2 linked regions of the Ovis aries genome follow. The protein of the gene in region 1 interacts with the protein of each later gene in a biochemical or structural test. Links are inferred from orthologs where the notes say so. Each region holds a gene or a part of one and is shown in the gene's direction. Other genes may lie near its edges.

Region 1 (3,807 bases):
CCCCAGGGCCCTGAGGCCTCTCCTCACCACCCTCCCGGCCCCCAGGTGGTTTCACCGAGACCTCAGTGGGCTGGATGCGGAGACCCTGCTCAAGGGCCGAGGAGTCCACGGAAGCTTCCTGGCACGGCCCAGCCGCAAGAACCAGGGTGACTTCTCCCTCTCCGTCAGGTAGGTGGCCCACGGCTCCAGCCGGGGGTGGGGTGCCAGCCCTTGGCTGCTCGTTTCGCTTCCCCAGGCCCCTGGGTGTATCCACCCCAACCCTGGCCAGGGCCCCCACCCACCCCCTACCCTCACCCGACCTCCACTCTCCCTTCCACTGGCCTTACCACCACCGGGTGCCCTGCAGGGTCGGGGACCAGGTGACTCATATTCGAATCCAGAACTCTGGGGACTTCTACGATCTGTATGGAGGGGAGAAGTTCGCGACGCTGACGGAGCTGGTGGAGTACTACACGCAGCAGCAGGGTGTTCTACAGGACCGAGACGGCACCATCATCCACCTCAAGTACCCGCTGAACTGCTCAGACCCCACCAGTGAGAGGTGAGGGTCTTCACTCCCTGGCCCGCCCCACCAAGAAGTGGGCTGTCCTTCCTACCTTGGGCCTCTTCCCTCCGTGTGATCTGAGGGCCCCCTTTCCATCAACCCCTAGGAAGCAAGAGAAGGTTGCCTGGCCCTTCTCCAGGGTCCCTGTCCACCCGTGCTCCAGGCCTTACCAGTGCCAGAGAGGCCTCTCCTCGTGGCTGTCTCTCCCAAATGGCTGGCTCTGTTGTTAGAAAGCTCTTCTTGCTGGGACAGAATCTGACCTCTTGTAACTGTTCTCTCCCCAGCACGGATTCCTATGGTTGAGGAGGAGCGTAGGGGTCAGCATGTATGAGGACACATAGGCTCATCTCAGTGTCCCCTGATAATGGGTCTGCCCTCTGGGGTCGGCTAGTGCTGGACTAGTCCCTTGACCAGACCCACATCAATACTCTAAGCATTTCCCGCCCATCTTTCTTGTTTCAAAGATATGGTCCCCAGAACTGGGCTGGCTACTCCCCAGGTGGTCTCCCCAAAGTATGGGCAGACCCAAAGACTCTGCCTTTTATGGACGGGTTGGGGGGTGTCTCATTTTCCAGCTGTGTCTCCATGATAGCTCCTATAATTAGGGGAAGGGCAGCTGAACAACTCTGGGTTGTTATGGGGGCTTTTTTTGGCACACTCCTAGGGCCAAGCCAACTTGTCCTTGTCGAAATGATTCTGAACCTGGATTCTTTCAGCTTTCAGTCTTTCTGAGATGCATGCCTCCCATCTTGCATCCGTATTTTGTTCAAGTCACTGGTTGAGACTGAGAACTGGATGAGGCTGGGGTACAGGCCCCAGACCCACCCCTGGAGACCCTTTTTCCCATGAACATGCATCCAGGGTCCATTTCTGGTGAAGCCGCCTCCCCCAGGAGGGAAGCACTTAGATGCCCTTGCTCGTGTCTGTCCTTCCCTGGTGTTCACTGCCTCTCACCCTCTTCCTGCACCCCCCTGCCACATTCATGGGGATTTTCTGCCCAGATCCTTTTGGGCTCTTCATGACCTGGCCTCCTCCTTGTCCACAGCCAGGGTCCGGCCTACTGATTGCTGCCAAAGGATTGCTGCAGGGGTGGTTGAGGATGGAGCTGCAAGAGGGATGGAGCTGAGAGGACCCCCTGGGGCCTGGGGTCAGGGTTCAAATTGTGGCTGGAAGAGGTCAGGGTCAGAGGGACTCAAGACCAGGGCAGCTGACTTCAAGAGAGGCTTTTGGTTCCCCACACCAGGAGGTCTGGATTCACCCTTGACCCTGGGAGCCTGTGGGGAAGGCTCTTTCTCCCAGCCTCTGCTCTGGTTTGCTCTGGTTCTTGGCCTTGGCAGCTCCCCCTCCTCCTCTGGGGAGAATTTGCATTTGTCCCCTCAATGGCTAGCTCTTTGCCTGTGGTCAGCCTGACATTTGCATGGAGACTTCCTCATCCTGTGGGGCCTGGGGGAAGAGGGTTAGCCCCCTCCCCACTGCTTGGGGGCCCTGGCCTATCCCTGAGTGGTGGGATATGGTGGCCCAGGGGTCCTGCACTGGGCTGGGGACTCTGGAAGTCTCCGAGCTGTAGTCTCCTCCGGGCTGCAGTACGATGGGGTGGGACAGACTGGCCCCCTCCCTCCTTCCCCCCATTCCTGCGGTTGGAAAATGCCCCCCTTCTCCTGTCCCTGGGCTGAGGAAACCTCACAACCTCACTTCTCACTCTCTCCCCAGAAGGAGTTTTGTGTTTTTTCCATCACGTGGTTTCCTGTGGGGCTGGGCATTGCGGGGCTACAGTTTCCTCCTGGGAAGGGGGTGTGTTTTGGGGAAAGGTCCTAGTTCTGCTTTCTGCCCCTCTGAGCCCCTTGAGCCTCCCCCCCAACACCCAACCCCAGCAGCCCCTTCAGTGACATCACCTGGGGCACCCCAAAGCCCCCAAACCACTATTCACCCTGCGGGCTTGTCCACCTTCCCGACCCCAACCCCCAGGGGGACTTCTCCCCTCGCTTGTGACTTCCGTCTCTCCCAACCCCATTGCTGTCTGTGGTTTGGCCTCCATCTGCATTTCTGCTTCCCTTGCCTAGCCCTGTCTTTCATGGAGACCCTTCCTGGGTTTCTCCCCTCTGAACATTCTGGATGTGGCTGCCTTTCTGCCTGTGTCTTAAACTTGCGGAGGTGGGCTTGCTTAGAAGTCCTGAGGCTTGCCACTTATTAGCCAGGGCTTGGGCCAGTGTTCCACCACCCAGCCTCAGTCTCCTCATCTGCAGAATGGGTAGTACCTACCTCTCAGGTTTCTGTGAGGGTGACGGACCTACTCATAGTGGCGGATTTGAGAGCGTGTAGCACAGCTCAGTTCAGCACATGGCAGGGGCCCAAGTTCCCTGCCCCCTCCCTGAGCATCTGCCCAGCGCCCGCCCCCGGCCTCAGTCTCACCTCCCCGGATGCCGTCTTCCCTAGGTGGTACCATGGCCACATGTCTGGAGGGCAGGCAGAGACTTTGCTGCAGGCCAAGGGGGAGCCTTGGACATTCCTTGTGCGTGAGAGCCTCAGCCAGCCTGGAGATTTTGTGCTGTCCGTGCTCAGCGACCAGCCCAAGGCTGGCCCTGGCTCCCCGCTCAGAGTCACCCATATCAAAGTCATGTGTGAGGTAAGGCCTCTGGGCACAAGGGAGGCACCCCGCTGGGGGTCCCCTCTGTGCCCACAGCCTTGCCCGTGGGGAGGGGCAGCCTGGGCTTTGGTCTGAGGCTGGGGGATCCAGGCAGGGAGACTGAGGTGGCCTGACTTGGTGCCCCTCAGGGTGGACGCTACACAGTGGGGGGTTCGGAGACCTTCGACAGCCTCACTGACCTGGTGGAGCATTTCAAGAGGACGGGGATCGAGGAGGCCTCCGGCGCTTTCGTCTACCTGCGGCAGGTGAGGGGTGGGCCTGGCTGCCTCCTCCCATTCCCTGAGCCTCTGAGCTCTAGAAGCGGCTGACTTCTGGCCTCCCCCACCCCAGCCATACTACGCCACGAGGGTGAACGCGGCTGACATTGAGAACCGGGTCTTGGAACTGAACAAGAAGCAGGAGTCAGAAGAGACAGCCAAGGCCGGCTTCTGGGAGGAGTTTGAGGTTTGTGATGGGACCAGCAGGGTGAAGGGCTTGGGGTCCCAGACAGACCCTGCCCCCTCACTCCCCATCCTCATCTGCCCTATGACCTCTCCACCCACGGATGCCCTGCTCCCGGGCCTGAGGCTCCATTTCCCCGACTCCTCCCACAGAGTCTGCAGAAGCAGGAGGTGAAAAA
Region 2 (4,572 bases), on another chromosome or scaffold:
ATGGGATTCTCCAGGCAAGAATACTGGAGTGGGTTGCCATTTCTTTATCCAGGGGATCTTCCCAACCCAGTGATGGAACCCAGGTCTCCTGCATTGCAGGCAGATTCTTTACCATCTGAGCTACCAGGGAAGCCCTAATATACATAAACCAATAGCAAATTAATAAGGAAAAGACAATCAAAAAATGGTCAAATAATATGAATAGGTAATTCCCAGGAGAAGAAGTAGTGTTTAAAAAAAAAAAAAGAAACAGTGTTCCAGGGATGGCTTGGGTGGAGGAGGGGTTTAGACCCCTCAAAAACGCCAGCAATCTACACTTTGATCTGGACAATTAATATTTTCTCAGTCTTATGTAAGCTCAGATTCAAGATAAGACCTCACCTCTCTTTCCAGCCAGATTGCCATCCCTAAATGTCCTTTATATGGGCATGCTAGGGCTTCCATAGTCAACAAACATGAGAAAGAAGCACAGCTTTATGAGTGATGAGGCAACCGCGGACTCAAACAACATTCAGATATTATTTCTGTACTCATGAGACTGACACAAATTTAAAAAATTGATTGTATCCACTGCCAGAGAGAGGGTGAGAAACTCACACTCAACCCATGTCCGTGATCAGCGTTGGTGAACATGCACCAGTTCAGTGTGTTAGGAGGGCAACTTAGCATCAGCTGTAACAATTCAAACGGACATGGCCTTCGACCCAGCCATTTCACTTCTAGGATTTTATCCTACGTGAACTCTCACACGCTCATGTGTCCACAGAGGATGTTTACGGCAGTATTGTTTCTATAAGGAATAAAATGGAACAACCAATACGGGAATGATGGTTCGATGAATTATGACTAAGTCCTATTGTGAAATGCCATGCAACTGTTGAGAAGAAGGGAGCGAAACCTACAACTTCCTCTTAGAAAGATGTCTGGGACGTGTTAATTTTAAAAAGAACAGGCCACAGAAGAGTTTGTTTGCTTTGATATTGGAGCGAAAAGGACTGTTACTAGTGTTTGCTCCTGGACACAGAGATGGGAGAGGGACTGAGGGGATCTGTTTATAGCAGAACATTCACCATTTACAGTATAATAACAACAACGACCTGGGCTGGCATTTACTGATGGCTCCCCCATGCACTCGGCTCTGTGCTGAGGGACAGGGCTTGTCTCAGTCTTCACAACAGCACTCCCAGGGAGGTGCCTTTATTTCCCCCGCTTCACAGAGGATAGAAATTAAGCTTAAAGTGGTTTTCGTCATGCGCCCAGACTACCAGGTGGAAAAGGGTAGAAACAAGGTTAGGACCACAACAACCTGGCTCTATGATGATAAACTGTCTCCCAGGATATGTTTTTAGTGTCGCCTGAATTATTTTACAACGATAGTGTATTGATTTTCTAATTAAAAAACAACAGAAAAAGAAAGAACCGTTTCATTGTTTTTTTTTAAAAAACAATCTCAACATTTTGTTTCTTAGTTTCAGGAAAGATTCTCTGACTCCCTCCCTAATATCACTTCATTTTAAACAGTACAAAGTGGAAAAACTCTCCTCTTTGGCTGCTCAACAAAAAGCACAGAAAACCCTGCTCGCGACAGCGCATGACTGAAGCTGACGGTCTCACCGTTTCGGTGAAAGTGGCTTTAATACAACAGAGAAGTAAATGAAACTTACCATTTGGTTTTCTCAGTCTTTCACAATCCAGTGCAGCCTTTTGAACTGAAAGAGAGAAAAGGAACACAAGAAAACTATTTTTCCACATGACGTTTTGGTTTGGAGATTCAAGCTTCAAAATGGTAAGTGAGCCTCGGATGTGACAGAAAGAAAAATGCCCCAAAGAACAGCTTGTTTAAATAGCCCCACATTCTCTTGAATGAAATCGGGGAGGAGGGCAAAGGAGTCTTGATGGCCTCCCTGCCTCCCACCAGCGAATCACAGAGAGAACTTCCTCTTTTTCGACGAATTTAAAGAAATTGGAGTTGTGTGGACTAGCCTGATGTGGGATGACTGGTTGGTGTGACCCTGTGCTCCTCTGTGAGCACTTGTAGGCAGAGAGGGATATGGCAGGTTACTTCTAATTCAGGCTGGCAGGGAAGTGGACTGTGAGTAAAAGAAAAAATGTTGCTACTATGGGCTTCCCTGGTGGCTCATCGGTAAAGAACCCACCTGCCAATGCAGGAGACCCGGGTTTGATCTCTGGGTGGGAAAGATCGCCTGGAGAAGGAAATGGCAACCCACTACAGTATTCTTGCCTGGAAAATCCAGGGACAGAGTAGCCTGGCAGGCTATATAGTCCATGGGGGTCACAAAAGGATCGGACATTACTTAGCAACTAAACAACAACACTGTCTTTATGCAAACCTACGTGATCATCTCCTTTTGGATTCAGCCTGGGTCAGAAGGAAGTTAGTGGAAAGTTTGTTTTAGTCTTGGGGAGCAACCTTGACTGTCTAGAGAGAGACACAGAAACGTGGCAGCAGAAATGCCTGACTGTGTTAAACGCTGGCTTCTAGGCCCTGCTCCAGGCTTCCTGGGGATGAAACCTGGGACTCTGGATTTTCTCCAGGGCCCCAGCAGCCTCAGCGTGTCTAGATTACAGCCCCGAAGTGGCTTGTGATTCACTTGCACCCAATCCAGAATTCTCCTGACTCTGCCAAGTGGATGCATGTTCTGTTGTCATCAGCATGAAGTGGAGAGTGGGAAGGGGGTGAGGGGTTCCTGAGTGGTTGGGGCTGTGATTGGCCTGGGCCCCTTGGGTTACTGGTTCTTTTTTTCTTTTCTTATTTGTGTGTGTGTGTTTTTTTGTTTTTTTTTTTTTGGCTAAGCTGCGCAACTTGTGGGATCTTAGTTCCCTGAGCAGAGAACGAACCTGCATCCTCTGCAGTGCACGTGCAGAGTCCTAACCACTGGACCGCCAGGGAATTCCCAGGTTACTGGCTTTTGTTGCCTGAAGGGTTGACCCTGACGGTCTCTTCGTTCTCGTGGATAGGTGCCCTCTCCATGGGGAAGACACACCCCTGCCTGGGTGCAGGTTCTTCCGAAACATCACCCAATCACCAGTATTAACTCGCTCCAGGGGCTCCTTGCTTGGGCTCCCCAGGTTCCCAGCCTGTTGTGGTCAGTCGTGCCTAGCCCCACACCACTGGGGGTCTGAACAGAGCCCAGGGCTTGGCTGCCGTCACCCCCACTTCCTCCCTATCTGCTGCCACTGTCTGGAAGCAAATCATCTTAGTCCTCAGTTTGTAAAAGAAAAATGCAAAGTTAGTCCTCCGTTTGTAAAAGGACTTTATTTCCTTCCAACAGTAAAAGTTACTTCTTAGGCACCCACCCTTCCAACAAAGACAGCACTCAGTGACTTCATATGGCAATATTGGTGGCAATTTCTCTCACTAAAGGAGAGTGTGGAAAAGCACCCCACCAGTTTAATCTCTGGTGGCATAACTCTCAATGCGAGAATTTCTGCTAAGGGGAATCAGAGGTTTTGGTTTTGACGTTTCCCACCAGTGTCTTATCCATCCTGGCCTGAGAACTGTCATGCCCAGAAGGATGGGGGCTCTTTCAGAAAAGCTGACATGTCTGGGGCATTTCTGCATGTGGAACTTTCAGCTCGGGCAGGAAGCCTGCAGACCGCAGCAAAGACAGCAAAGGAAACTGGAGGAAGTTCTTCTTAGGGCTGTTAGTAAACGTTACTGGGAGTACCTTATCGAGGCCCCCCTCAAAGGATCATAGTTTATCAAAGATTACATAACAAATCAGATATAAAGTCTCAAGTGGAAAAAGAAAAAAGTTCATCCATGGACCTGACACGTTGCATAGAGCCCAAATCATGACGAAGCTGCACTATCATGGTCCACCGAAATTCATCATATCAATAAACTTGATAAAAATAAATATAACCCAGGGACTTCCCTGGTGTTCCAATGGTTAAGAATCTGCCTTGCAATGCAGGGGACGAGATTTCCATCTCTGATCTGGGAATTGAGATCCCACATCCTACGGGGCTACTAAGCCGATGCGTTGCAACTTCTGAGCTCGAGTGCCACAGTCAGAGAGGCTGAGTGCTGTAACTAAGACCTGACACAGCCAAATAGATAAGATTGTACTCATTAAAAAAATAAATATAGTCAAACAAACAGTAAAGTTAGGCTTCTCTGTTGTCTAAGAGCTTTATACTGATCATCTCATTTACTCCTTAAGAAACCTCTATGGAGAAGGCAATGGCACCCCACTCCAGTACTCTTGCCTGGAAAACCCCATGGATGGAGGAGCCTGGTGGGCTTCAGTCCATGGGGTCGTTGGGAGTCAGACATGACTGAGCGACTTCACTTTCACTTTTCACTTTCATGCATTGGAGAAGGAAATGGCAACCCACTCTGGTATTCTTGCCTGGAGAATCCCAGGGATGGGGGAGCCTGGTGGGCTGCCGTCTGTAGGGTCGCACAGAGTCGGACATGACTGAAGCGACTTAGCAGTAGTAGTAACAGTATGAAGTATGCCGAGGTATTATTAAAATTATGCCACAACCAGTAGGATAATATAAATATATGACTCAAAGCATGGATCAAATATTTTAAAATGTATT

What was found.
Region 2: the proteins of PTPN6 (region 1) and PECAM1 form a complex in vitro, tested with the Homo sapiens proteins (2 studies listed by BioGRID, with this or other methods). The link is inferred for Ovis aries from reciprocal best matches to the Homo sapiens genes PTPN6 and PECAM1.

What each region holds. Positions count from the first base shown.
Region 1 is NC_056056.1:209,350,725-209,354,531, reverse strand, and holds part of PTPN6 (tyrosine-protein phosphatase non-receptor type 6), read left to right. Parts: intron 1-45; coding exon 46-168; intron 169-346; coding exon 347-541; intron 542-2,977; coding exon 2,978-3,167; intron 3,168-3,316; coding exon 3,317-3,433; intron 3,434-3,518; coding exon 3,519-3,632; intron 3,633-3,781; coding exon 3,782-3,807. UniProt on the Homo sapiens protein: Tyrosine phosphatase enzyme that plays important roles in controlling immune signaling pathways and fundamental physiological processes such as hematopoiesis.
Region 2 is NC_056064.1:48,348,631-48,353,202, reverse strand, and holds the start of PECAM1 (platelet endothelial cell adhesion molecule), read left to right. Parts: upstream 1-1,635; 5' UTR 1,636-1,664; coding exon of another isoform or gene 1,665-1,752; 5' UTR 1,753-1,786; exon of another isoform or gene 1,787-1,865; intron 1,866-4,572. Other genes in the region: MILR1 (allergin-1), read right to left, coding at 1,665-1,752. UniProt on the Homo sapiens protein: Cell adhesion molecule which is required for leukocyte transendothelial migration (TEM) under most inflammatory conditions.